Macaca fascicularis: one gene and its partners. The protein of the gene in region 2 interacts with the protein of the main gene of each other region in a pairwise test. Links are inferred from orthologs where the notes say so. Each region holds a gene or a part of one and is shown on either strand. Other genes may lie near its edges.

The links.
Region 1: the proteins of TRIM39 (region 2) and UBTD1 interact in binary tests that used the Homo sapiens proteins (3 or more experiments, as listed by UniProt). The two-hybrid records come from large-scale screens. The link is inferred for Macaca fascicularis from reciprocal best matches to the Homo sapiens genes TRIM39 and UBTD1.
Region 3: the proteins of TRIM39 (region 2) and UBXN6 interact in binary tests that used the Homo sapiens proteins (3 or more experiments, as listed by UniProt). The link is inferred for Macaca fascicularis from reciprocal best matches to the Homo sapiens genes TRIM39 and UBXN6.

What each region holds. Positions count from the first base shown.
Region 1 is NC_088383.1:106,450,469-106,454,731, reverse strand, and holds the start of UBTD1 (ubiquitin domain-containing protein 1), read right to left. Parts: upstream 2,815-4,263; 5' UTR 2,513-2,814; coding exon 2,443-2,512; intron 2,368-2,442; exon of another isoform or gene 2,224-2,367; intron 1-2,223. Other genes in the region: MMS19 nucleotide excision repair protein homolog, read left to right, coding at 3,345-3,456. UniProt on the Homo sapiens protein: May be involved in the regulation of cellular senescence through a positive feedback loop with TP53. Is a TP53 downstream target gene that increases the stability of TP53 protein by promoting the ubiquitination and degradation of MDM2.
Region 2 is NC_088378.1:142,319,883-142,324,043, reverse strand, and holds the start of TRIM39 (E3 ubiquitin-protein ligase TRIM39), read left to right. Parts: upstream 1-1,340; 5' UTR 1,341-1,701; exon of another isoform or gene 1,702-2,370; intron 2,371-2,372; exon of another isoform or gene 2,373-3,178; intron 3,179-4,161.
Region 3 is NC_088393.1:5,196,644-5,200,911, forward strand, and holds the start of UBXN6 (UBX domain-containing protein 6), read right to left. Parts: upstream 2,815-4,268; 5' UTR 2,699-2,814; coding exon 2,616-2,698; intron 1,852-2,615; exon of another isoform or gene 1,766-1,851; intron 1-1,765. UniProt on the Homo sapiens protein: May negatively regulate the ATPase activity of VCP, an ATP-driven segregase that associates with different cofactors to control a wide variety of cellular processes.

The DNA of each region.
Region 1 (4,263 bases), on a different chromosome or scaffold from region 2:
GTCAGAGAAGGGAAAGAAATTAGGACTTAAAAGGAACGGCCTTGACAGTTAAAGTACTTGTAGGAGTGGGAAAGTGCAGAAAGGTGTTTGTTGTTGTTGTTGTTGTTTTGGGTTTTTTTGAGATGGAGTCTCGCTCTGTCACCCAGGCTGGAGTGCAGTGGCGCAATCTGGGCTCACTACAACCTCTGCCTTCCAGTTCAAGCAATTCTCCCTGCCTCAGCCTCCTGAGCAGCTGGGATTACCGGCGCCTGCCACCACGCCTGGCTAATTTTTATATTTTTAGTAGAGACAGGGTTTTGCCATGTTGGCCAGGCTGGTCTCCAACTCCTGACCTCAGGTGATCTGCCTGCCTTGGCCTCCCAAAGTGCTGGATTACAGGTGTGAGCCACCATGTCTGGCCAAGTACAGAAATATTTTGAACACAGAACTATAAAATCTGGAAGAAGTTATTTTAGCAAATGTCTTCTGAGGGGACAACTGTGTGTAAGACTGGATAATGACTGAAGATGAAGTTGCCTTTGGGGGGTACCTCACTTCAGCCTGAGACAAGGGTTGACTTGAGGTGAGAAGGGTATGAAGTGGGGTGGCAAGGGACAGGTTCGCAAGACCTGCGGAAGGAAGAGCCAGCAGACCCCAGGGACTGGCTGGCTTCGAGGCAGGTGACAAGGAAGCAGAGAAAGTCATGAGAGAGAGAGCTCTTCACAGCCTAAAGTTAGGCAGCTGGAAGAACATGAGTAAAGAAGGGAAGCTGCTGGACAGGGAACAATACAGAGCCTGATTTTGGAAGTGTCAAATCTGGGAATATCTATATCGCACTGTCCAGTGGCCATCTAGAGATGGGGTTCTGGGGTTCAAGAGAGAAGAGCTGAAGATTAAGCATAGGGGTCTTCCCAATGGACAAAGAGTTGTGAGACTAAACAAGATTTCTCTGGGAGGGAGTGTAATGAGAGAAAAAACAGAATGTCAAACTGAAGCACCAGTGCGCCCCCCACCTAGAAGGTGATCGTGGAAAGGGGTGTTTAGAATGGAAAACCAAGACAGTCTGATGCCAAGAAAGGAAGGGGGAGAATGTCTCATGGGAGAGAGTTGTCAACAGCAAAAAATGCTGCTAAATCAATTATGGGGACTGAACACATATTTGTTGAACAAATGAATGAATGAAAGCAAGCCAGTCCTTGGTTTTGAGTCATCTCTCCTCAGTCAGAAGAATGGGCAGAGTTACCTTCAGACAAAAGAATTTCAATAAGTTTTACTTCATCCTTCCCATAAAAACACATTTCTTCCTCCACGAGTCATCCTGTCCACCACGCAGACATCCTTCCCTGCTTCCCCTGGTTCCCTCATCTTCCTTCCCAGTTTCCGCAACCCAAGCAACACACCTTCGGTGTCAAGGGAGACAGGAAACTCCAACTAGAGTTTCCACTTCATTAACAACTCTGCCTGTGGCTCCTCTTACATAAGGGGATATGTGGCAATGGGGTGGGAGAGGAGGCTGAGTTCTAGCCCCAGCTGTGCTCCTAACTAGCTGTGTGACTTTGGACAAGGTGCTCAACCTCTTGGGATCTGGGCTTTGACATGGAGAGGAGGACAAAGATCCATCTGGAATCCAGATAAGTTTTGAAGGTCCCTTTGAGCTCTCAAGTCTACGATTTTATTCCCAGCAGGTCCTTGCAACACCCTCAAAGAAGGAAGTGAGTGTAAGACCCAGAAAAATGACCGACAGACCTCTTTCCGGGGCGAAATGCCAGGGCAAGCGGGGTGTACCATGAAAGTGAGAAAGCGTTGAGAAACCGGCCTCGAGAATCACCAGCGAGCGATCTCACTCCCACAGCTAGGAAGGATCCCAACAATTCCGAGGGTGACTCTCACCCCGCACCCCATCTTTTATAGACTCCCAGACGACCGAGAGGCTCTAAAAACCCCTGCGGGAAAAATAAAGATTTCTTTCCCAGAGTCCTGCGCTGCTTTGCAAGTCGGATTCCGGCAGACACGATCTGCAGCCCGATAATGACACAGTCTTTGGAAGGAGCGACTGTTCTCGCCCCGCTCGCTCCAAGTTCTGGGGACGCCTGGCTGCCCGCGCCGTGCCCCGACGGGCCGGTGTCCGACCCCGGCCGGAGCTGCCAGGCCAGCGGCGCCCTCGCCCCGGGCCCTCCCCGCAATCCGTCGGCCCCGCTGCGGTCTGCAAACATTTCCTGCCCCCACCCCCACCAGGAGCTTCCCAGTTGGAGAGAGTTGGTCGCGCAGCCGGCTCAGTGCTCGCAGTTGCCCCAACTCAGCTCGCCCGGCGCTGGGGAGCGGCCCCGTCTGGTTGCGGAGCAGGCTATCGGGGAAACCCAAGCGCCAGCACCAGTGGGGAGTCTATCGGTAAGCCTAGAGCTCGGGCGAGGAGGGGGACAACTGGCGGGGTGCCCGAGGCCCTGCTCCCTTCCCCGTCGTTACCTGCTCGCTTGCGGGGGTGTCCCGGGGCTGCCGGCCTCTCCCGCCGCTGTCTCCCCACGCAGTTGCCCATGCTGGCTCCTCAGCCAGTCCCCATGCACCGGAGGCGGCGAGGTGGTCGGCTGCTCCGCGCTCCTGCCCCGGACGGCGGCGTCCCGGGTCAACGGCTCCGGCCGCCCGGCATCTGGCGCTCCCCGATCTCCCCCCGGGGGCGCGCTCAGCCCCGGCGCTGGCTCCGGCAAAACTTTGCGGGCCAGGGGAGAGAGGGAGGTGGCAGACTCCCTAGCACAGTCCCAGGTGGCCGGGCCAGGGGGGCCCGCGACGGTGCCCGGCCGGAGACCAGCTCCGCTGGAGGGGCGGAGAGAGGGGGCGGGCACCGCCGCAGCTACTCCCGGTCGCTCGGGGCTCCAGGCAGGGGCCGGCCCCCTGGAGCCTGTCACTCACCTGCCTAACCCCGCCCCAGGCCGGCCCCGCTCCCCACCGCCGGCTCGCGGTGCCCGCGCCGCCGCCACCACCCGCCCCAGGTGCGCATGTGACCGACAGCACCGCCCCCTCGGGCTGGGCCTGATTTTCTCATTGGCTTCCCCCGTGGTGCGTACCGCCCCTCTCCCCACCCAGCCAGGTGCCCGCCCCGCCGCCCGTCTCCCGGGGAGCCGGGCCGGGAATTATTCGCCCTCAATGGCCTCCGGCTGCGTGCCCAGCAGCCGCCTTCCCTCTCGGTGCCGCCGCCCCATTCCAGGCCCCGCCCCTCCATGGAACTGCCTGGCTAGAAGCCGGTAGGCACGTGACCCGGTGCGCCCCGCCCCCTTGGCCTTCTCCCCGCGATTGCCTCGGGAGGCGCATGCGCGGAGAGGCCCGTCTCTTGCCACCGCCCATATCCCCTCCCACGGTCTCTTGTTCGCGTCATGGCCGCCGCCGCGGCTCTGGAGGCGGCGGCGCCTACGGGCGCCCTATGGGGCCTCGTGCACGACTTCGTCATGGGTCAACAAGAGGGCCCCGCTGACCAGGTGGCTGCAGGTACGGCAGACGGCGCCGCGCGCCTTCCGCATGGGGGCCAACAGGAGGGAGCGGCCTCGGTACAGGCGCCGGGCGGGAAAGGAGGAGCGGGTGACTTTGAGAGATTGGTCTCAAGGCTGGTTAGTGAGCACCGCGAGCTTCAGAGCCGTAACAAGTTGGAGAGTTGCCTGTGTCTTCCTTAAAACCATTTACACTTTTCATCTCCCTATAGCCAATTATAGGGAATTATTACATTTTACAGATGAGGAAACTGAGGCTCAGCGAGGGCAAGAGGACTTGCGCAGGGCTGCAGACAAGGCAGGAGGGGGAGCTGGGACTCGGACCCAGGCGTTCACGTCCGAACCGGGTGCTCAAGCCACGAAGCCACGCTGTTTGTGGGAGGTTGACGTGTGGAGGTGCATCCTCGCAGCGTCCGCTCCCGTCGCGTGGCATCCTGGGAGTGGCGGATGGCCCCGCGCTCTGACTGGCTGGAATTAAGAGGAGGCGAGGAGTCGGGCCAGGAGGAGCTGGAGATGTTCTGGGTGTCCTCCTTAAGACTTTCTCTCCGTTTCTTGCCAAAGTTCTTGATTAGTTTGCTCCATGACGTTTTATGTGGCGTTTGTTTTTATCTTCTTCCCAGACCCCCACTTTGCCTGCTTTTGACAAGTTCAGAGATCTCTTAGTTCAGACAGCTTATCTAAAATTAGAATAAAACAATTTCCAGGCTTCCGTGGAGTTCTGAGACTTTGCTCTTCTAGGAAAAAAAAATCTACTAAAAAGTTATTGAATGTTAGGAAGGCTTCAGATCTTGGGTTTAAGTAACAATAT
Region 2 (4,161 bases):
AGGTGCGCGCCACACGCCCGGATAATTTTTGTATTTTTAGTAGAGACAGCGTTTCGCTATGTTGGCCAGGCTGGTCTCAAACTCCTGACCTCAGGTGATCCACCCGCCTCGGCCTCCCAAAGTGCTAGGATTACAGGCGTGAGCCACCGCGCCCAGCCTTCATTTAGTATTGTCTAATGATGTTTTCATACTCCAAGAAGAAAGTTCAGTATGGACCACAAAGCCAAAAAGATGTCCTCTCTGGCTCTACAGCAAAGATTTGCCAAGCCCTGTTATATGTCATACTATTTGCGCTTCATAATTTTATAGTTTTACCTAGGCAGTCTCCATTTTTTCCTTCCATATTCAGCGTAAAATCCCCTTGTTTTTTTTTTTTTTTGGAGACGGAGTCTCGCTCTGTCGCCCAGGCTGGAGTGCAGTGGCCGGATCTCAGCTCACTGCAAGCTCCGCCTTCCGGGTTTACGCCATTCTCCTGCCTCAGCCTCGGGGAGTAGCTGGGACTACAGGCGCCCGCCACCTCGCCCGGCTAGTTTTTTTGTATTTTTTAGTAGAGACGGGGTTTCACTGTGTTAGCCAGGATGGTCTCGATCTCCTGACCTCGTGATCCGCCCGTCTCGGCCTCCCAAAGTGCTGGGATTACAGGCTTGAGCCACCGCGCCCGGCCCGTAAAATCCCCTTAATATCAGTCTCTAGGCAAGCTCATTCTTCATAATCCTTAGAATTGGACCTCCTCTTGTTAATTTCCTTAGTCTAATCACAATCCTCCTGGTTATTTACAAACCGAACGCCAGAAAGGAGGGTTATCAACATCTTATGCGCCACAAATTAACAAATCAAAACCAAATCTCACTCTCCCTCCGAAGCCAAGGCTAAGGAGGCTCACCGCCCAGTTAGTGGCTTTCAAACTACCCTTACAAGTGAGGCATCTTGTGAATTAGAACAACTGCTGCTGCTAAAATCCCTAATGGCTACATAGCAATGTGAAAAAAAGGTATCAAATGTAATTTTCTCAAATTTAATCCTCTTCAATTGTTGGCACAAAAAAAGGAATAATAAAGGTAGACAACTATAATTAGCATGTGTGATCCCAAATCTTTATACCTTAGATACTGGATATTTTCTACAAGTAAATAGTTTCTGGCTCCCAAGATGAGAGGTTAAATAATGCAGGGTGTTTGTAAACAGCAGCACAACTTACACCGGAAATTAGGGCACTTTCTCACCAAGGAGAGCACATCAAAATTTGCTCATCTCTTTCAATCAATGTTCTCCAGGACTAGTGCTGGGGGCGGGGAGGCGGAGCAAGCTATCTTTTCTACCAGCCGTGTCACACCCCTCCTAGCACTAACCCCTCCTCCTCAGCCTCTTCACACCTCTACCCACTACTAACCCCTCCCCAGCCCCATCACCGCTTCCCGGGCCCCTGACACCTCTCCCAGCATACTCTTCCTGGCCTCATCACCTCACCCACTTCCTCCAAAATCACAGGACCTGCTAAGCTTCCAGCAGCAAGCGAGCAAAGCAGGGAGGCTGTAATGTAAAAGTCCGCAGTCCCTACACAAACACTATCTGCTCCTGCGGAGAAACTCAAGTCACAGCCCCAGAAGAAAGAACAGGCCTGGGCTCTCACCCAGTTAACCAGCGTTTATCCAGCGCACGTGTTGCGGTCGGACCCCATGCGAAGGAGCTAAGGACACAAAGGTGAGCAGCAGAGTCGCGGTTCCAGCTCTCTCCCGGCTCCCACTCCAGCGGGGTAGGTAGATAATTTCGGTAAACTTCGCCAAGCAGGGGCAGGACAAAGAGTATTTGAAGTCTACCCGGGGGAGAACTTACCTAATCCTTGAATGTTAAAAGGCTAAAACTCCACCAGTCGGAAGTGACGTGCCAGCTGAGCCCCCGCAGGTCCGCCACGTAATTGGCCGCCGCCACAGCTAGCCACCCTCTCCCCGGACTGGCCCGAAGAGAGGAAAAGTGTGGAAGTCCACAAGCCGCCCTCGCCCCGCCCTCTTCGTCGACTTTCAGCTGCACTGGGGAGCGGCGGCGCCTGGCCAGAGCCGGGGCCTGGAGCCTGGACGGGACAGCCTCGCCGGCCGGGGCGCCCGTCCAGCGCCCTGCGGGCCATGGGCTTCAGCGCTCGAGCACGCGCATGCGCGGGCCTCTATCTCCAGAGGATTCCTCGGGTCACCTGGACGCCAGCATCTCAGCCACCTGCCCCTCTGGGTCCCTTCTTGTCCTTGATTCCTCCTGCTGGTTCTCATCGCCAGCCCTCCTCCACCTCCTCCTTCCGCAGCCACCGCTAGACCCGGCCGCTGCCGCCTGCCGACACCCCAGCTTCCACTGACACGAGCCTCGGCGCGGCTTCCGCTTCCGGCGAGTATTGTGTGTCGCGCCGCGGGGCGGGGGCGAGGGGAGGAGGAAGGAGGGAGGCAGCGCTCCGGCGGCTCCGCGCCCCGCACTCCCGGACCCGAAGCCGGGAAGGTAGGTGCTGTCCCGCCGCCGCGCCCGAGCCTGGGGCCTGCCCCCGCCGGCCGGCTCCGCAAGTCGCGTCCCAGCGCCCCGCGACTGCGTCACCGGCCCCCCGCACGTAACCACAGCTGCCTCCGCCCGCCTCGGGCCCGGGCGGACGTTTTGCCGCCCCGGCGACGTCAGCGCGTCCGGCGTTGCTTGGCTACCCCGCCGTTCCCCCGTCCCGCTGCTGCTCACCTCCCCGGGTGAAACTCTGACGCAGTCACCGCGGGTCTCGGCTGCGTCATAGCGGCGGGCATCCCACCTTCACGTCACACCTCTTCCTCACCTGGACACGCATCCCTCCCTACCCTGCCAGCAACGACGTTTCCTCTTTCCCCTCTCCAATCCCCCTGCCCCAGATCTGGCGGAAGAAGATGGAGACGGGGGTGGGACAGAGTTGTGGACAACCTCTCAGGACAGGGTCGCAAGGTGGGACCCTGAACAGTGGTTGAAACAAAATGAGATCGTCCCTGAAGTTTGCCCTTCAGCTGAGACACAAGGAGTAGAGGGAGACGAAGGACTAACCCAGAGGCACTCAAGGTCTCACTATGACTGTAGTTTAGAGTCCTCTCCATTCTTCCCTAACCCTTTCCCCATTTCTTTCACCACTTCTTTGCCAGTCTAGATCTGTCCTGGTGCCTTACTGTGCATACAGTTCTACTCATCTCAGGTGAGGAGGCCACCTAATTTGTAAAAGACTGAGGAAGGGGTAGGGTCACCACAAGTCAAAGTTGGATTTCCACAGGTAGAGAGAAATCATCTGATTGAACTTCTCTCCTATTGCTGACAGAAAAAATTCAAGTCCAAAGAAGTTATCAGCTCCTACTCCAAACACATTTGTGTGTGCCAACAATATATACAGGAACAATTGTTGTTAACCTACCTCATTACATGGCCACTTATCTCTCAGCACATAGATTTACCAAATTTCCTTCCTTCCAGTAGGTCCCTAGAGAAGGATGGGGGTCAGGAGGAGAAAGGGTTATGGGGATAGATACATCAACTTACCCATGGCTAAAAGTATCGACGTTTTAAGATGGAGTGGGGGACCAGCGTTGTGTTTTATAAATCTCTCTTATGCATTTCCAATTCTTCTGAGGCTGCACTTGAGGGAGATCTCATTGCCTCTTTTCTGTCTCTTAATTCCCAACCACTCCGGAACCTATTAGTTGGAGACACAGTATGCCCAGGATGTTAGTTATCAATAGTTATATTGAAGGATTCCAGTCACTATAAATAGACTTGTTTCTTTACAAGAAGTTGTTGGCCTGAGCTCAGTAATGTACTATTTAATATAGTTGCCATAATTTATCAGTTTTCAGCAGTTCTGAGTGTCCAAATGAACACAATAGAAATGGAATGTTGCATGAAATATGTCATTCCAAGAAGAGAGCAGACTTCCTTTAGGCTAGTCTGATGGATAAAAGGAAGAATAATTTCAGATTTTCCTGGAAAGAGAAGGTTGCCTTTGCTTCATTCATTCCATTTGTTAGCCTTTAGAACACTGGTATCTAACCTTTTGAATGGGAGGACTCTTTTTACTTATCTGTGGTGGCTGATAAAACAAAAATTATGCATGGACCTTTTGTGGTGGCTGATAGAACAAAAGTTATGCATGGACTTCTTTTTTTTTTAGCTTATCAGCTGTCATTA
Region 3 (4,268 bases), on a different chromosome or scaffold from region 2:
CCTGGGGTCAGCGGACAGCAGAACCAGCCTCGCCCTGGCCACTCCATGCCAGGCCCGGGGCTGTGCAAGTACCAAGAGCTCATGGACTCGCGGTTCCGCCCTGCTGAGCCCTACACCAAGGAGGGTTCCATAATCCACTTGGCACAGTGGCCTGGCAGAGAAGCCCTTTCTGCCAACCTGCTCGGATGCGTCTGTCTCGCCTGTCTCCTCTCGGGCCCCTCCCGTGAATTCAGGGACTGTGTCACTTTCCATGTCGTAAGTCTATTAAAACTTCCTGGAGGCCAGGCTCTCAGTTCAAGCCCTGTACTCCTCTGGCTCTGCTTAGATACTCGGGCAGCCCTCCCTCCTCGTCTCGAGGCTTAGCTTCGTGCCCACCCCTGCCTATCTAGTCCTCCCACAGCGCAGCATCTTGGGTGGAAGAGGAGATGACTCATGAAGACCCATCCCAGCCCCATCCGATATCTAGGTCTTTCCAACAAAATGGCATTTCCCAGGGCACCTCACCCCAACCGGTCATGGACCCTGCCCGCCCTGGGCAGCCACAGGGACCCTTCTGCAACCTCAGCCAGGGAGCGTCAGCATCACTCCACTGCACGACGCCCCCCCACCACGAAATCCTAAAGCCTCCCTCGGCCGGAGAGCCCTTCCCGGCCTGGCCCACTGCCCTCCCCTGGCCTGGCTCCCCTGGGCTCCCCGCGGTTCTTCCCATACCCCAGCTGCTCCCCGCCGCAAGGCCCTGCACTGTCTGCGCCTTATGCCCACAGTGTTCTCCTGCGGGGAGGGAGGAGGACAGGGGATCTGGAAAGGGCTAGAGCTGCCACAGGGAGAGAAGGAGGGGGCTGATTTCCCCACGGCTGAGTCTCACTGTGTCCTGGGAGAGGCCTTCCCAAACCACCTGATGGCGTCTGCTCACCCTCCTTCAAGGCCCTGGGTACCGCCTGAGCCCTCCTCTGAGGTCTGTTGGTTTATTTGTCCATCAGCTCCCTCTAGAAGGTGAGCCCTGGGACAGCAGAGGCCTTCTCCTGTCCACCACTGCAGCCTAAAACAGGACTTGGTGCCCACACGCCCCACACACCCTGGATATCCAGTCTCGCTCCAGAGAGGACCTCCGCACCCCTTCCCTTCCCGAGTCTCCCCTCTGACCTTCCCCTCTCCGCCAGGCTCTGGGCTGACCCAGCCATCACCCTGATGCCCTGCATCCTTCCTGTCACGCCCAGTCCTAACCCCATCCACTACTGGTTGAATCAATGAAGGGCTCCCCCCATTTGTCCACTTCTCTCCCTGACCCCCCTCCCTCTCTCACTCAGCCTTTGCTCTCCTGCTCTCCCCTAGGAACCCTGAATTCCTCGCTATGCCCCTACCTCCATCACCACCCCACCAACCCGTGATTCCCTGACCCCCACTTCCTGCCACCTCCCTGCCTCTCCTCCTACCCCCTCCCAGCCCCCACCCCTTCACAATCCCTTCCATTATTGCTTACAGACCCCTACCCTGGCTGCCTGGCTGACCTCCTTCCTCAGTCACTCTCCATCAGTCTCCACCACCCCCTGGCCAGCCAGCTCCCTGCAGCAGCCCCAGCTCTTCCAGCTTCCCTTTTCTCAGCCCAGCAGCCCTCAGCCTCGCACCCTCTCCAGCGCCACTTCTTTCCCGGCCCTCCACCTGCCCTCCCAGCTGGCTCAGCCCTGCTCAGGCCCTTCTCTCCAAGTCCTCCCTAGACGATCCGGAAGCCTGCCCGGCACTTATCTCCTTTCCCCTCCCCTCTCACCTCCATAATCCACTTGGCACAGTGACCTGGCAGAGAAGCCTCGCAGAGAAGGCCTTTCTCCCAACCTGCTCAGACGCGTCAATCTCGCCGGTCTTCTCCTCTCAGGCCCCTCCCGTGTCACAGTCCATCTGTCAGAGTCCCTCACCTCCAGTCTCCTCACACACCTTCCTCAGCCCCTCCCAGGTGACTGAAGACGCTACCCACCCCGGCCTCCTTGGCCTTCCAGACTCTTCCTGGTCTCCCATCAGCCTCCCACGTGCTCCAGATCCCAAGTCCAGAACCCCTCTTCCCATGGATGCCTCAGAACAACTCTCCACCACCCCACCCCACAGTTGTGCGTCTTCCTCCAAGCTCAGCTCTCATCCATGGTCACCTAGATTCCCCCAAATCATCCCGGCCACTTAAGGACCAGCCGGGTCCCCAGACCTCTCCCTTATCACCCGTCTCAGAACTGATCATCCCTTTTTTCCCCCAGGGTCGCTCCACTGACCCCCAACTTCCTGCAGCCCCGCCGCCCTAATCCCCCGCCACTGCCTCGGACCCTCCTGCGGCCCCGCCCCCGAGACATCCCCTCCCACCCGGCCCCCTTGCCCCGCCCCCTGCGCATGTTCCCCTCCCCCCGCCTCCCTTGCCCCGCCCCCGGCTCACACCCGCCCCCTCCTGCCCTGACCCCAGATCTCTCTCCCCTCCCCCTGACGCCCATCCTCGGCCCCGCTTGCCCCGCCCCCGGAGCCTCTCCCCCTCCCCTGACTCTCGGCTGCCGCTCCCCAGCCCCTCGCCCTCTCCGATCTCCCGAGCCGCCCGAGGCCCCAGACCCCTCTCCCCGGCCGCCCCTGCGTTCCTCACGCACCCCACGGACTCTGTGAGCTTCTGACCGGGTCCCGCGCTCTTGAACTTGATGTCGGCCTTGAACTCCTGAAAGAATTTCTTCATGGTGGCGGCTGGCCCGGCGGCGAGGGGCCGCGGGGGCGGGGGGCACAGGGCCCAGTCGGGGAGGGGCCGCCCGGGACCAGCCACCGGAAAAAAAATACCGCGCCGCCGGAAGTCCCGCCTTCCCGAGGCCGACCACGTGACAATAGGCTAGAAGTGCCTCTCTAGCGCTCGGTGCCTCGCTGGCCCAGGCGGCCGCTCTGTACGCTGGAGCCGCATCTCTGTGGTTCTTCGGGACTCCGTTGCCAGGGCGACGAGTGCGCCTCTCGATTAGAGTCAGTGCCTTGCCTGGCAGCTTCCGTGGCGCTCCCCAAACGGTGACAGACGGTGACAGGACGACTGAACCTCGCAGAGAAAGCACTGGGCCCTGTCCCTTTCGCTGCTCAACCTAAGCTGGGCACGGTGGCTCACGCCTGCAATCACAGCACTTTCGGAGGCTCAAGCGGGAGGATTGCTTGATTCCAGAAGTTGGAGACCAGTCTGGGCAACATGGCAAAACCTCGTCTCTATTTAAAAAAAAAAAAAAAAAAAGTAAAATAAAATAATAGCCGAGGGTGGTGGCGCGCACCTCTGAGCTACTTGGCAGGCGGAGGCGGGAGGACCACTTGAACCCAGGAGGTCGAGACTGCAGTGAGCTGTGATCAAGCCACCGCATTCCAGCCTGGGCAACAGAGAGAGACCCTGTCTCAAGCAAAACAAACAAAAATCCAACCTTCCCTGTCTCCCCAGAGCTTACGTGATAAAGTCCCAATTTAATGTGGGGTATTGGAGGCCCCCACCTTCTGGCCCTGTTTTGGTCCCTGAAGCCCCCCACCCCACCCCACCAACACCACCACCACCACCACCACCACTTACCCTAGGTAGAAGCTGTTTAAGAGGATGCATCCGATTGGGACCTGGGGATCCACTTTGGTGAACAAGACAGAGAAACCAGTTAATAGTGGCGTACTTTGGGCTGTGCGATTCGCAAAGAAGATACACAAAGTGACAGTTAAAACAAGCCTCCAAAGAAGGGAGTTGGGGGTCAGACGTGGTGGCTCATGCCTATAATGCCAGCACTTTGGGAGGCCGAGGCCGGCGGATCATTTGAGGTCAGGAGTTTGAGACCAGCCTGGCCAACATTGTGAAACCCTGTCTCTACCGGCGCCGGTAATCCCAGCTACTTGGGAGGCTGAGGCAGGAGAATCGCTTGAACCCGGGAGGTGGTGGTTGCAGTGAGCGGAGATCTCACCACTGCACTTCAGCCTGGGCAACAGAGGGAGACTGTGCCTCAAAAAAACAAAAACAGGCCGGGCGCGGTGGCTCAAGCCTGTAATCCCAGCACTTTGGGAGGCCGAGACGGGCGGATCACAAGGTCAGGAGATCGAGACCATCCTGGCTGATACGGTGAAACCCCGTCTCTACTAAAAAATACAAAAAACTAGCCGGGCGAGGTGGCGGGCGCCTGTAATCCCAGCTACTCGGGAGGCTGAGGCAGGAGAATGGCGTGAACCCGGGAGGCGGAGCTTGCAGTGAGCTGAGATGCGGCCACTGCACTCCAGCCTGGGCGGCAGAGCGAGACTCCGTCTCAAAA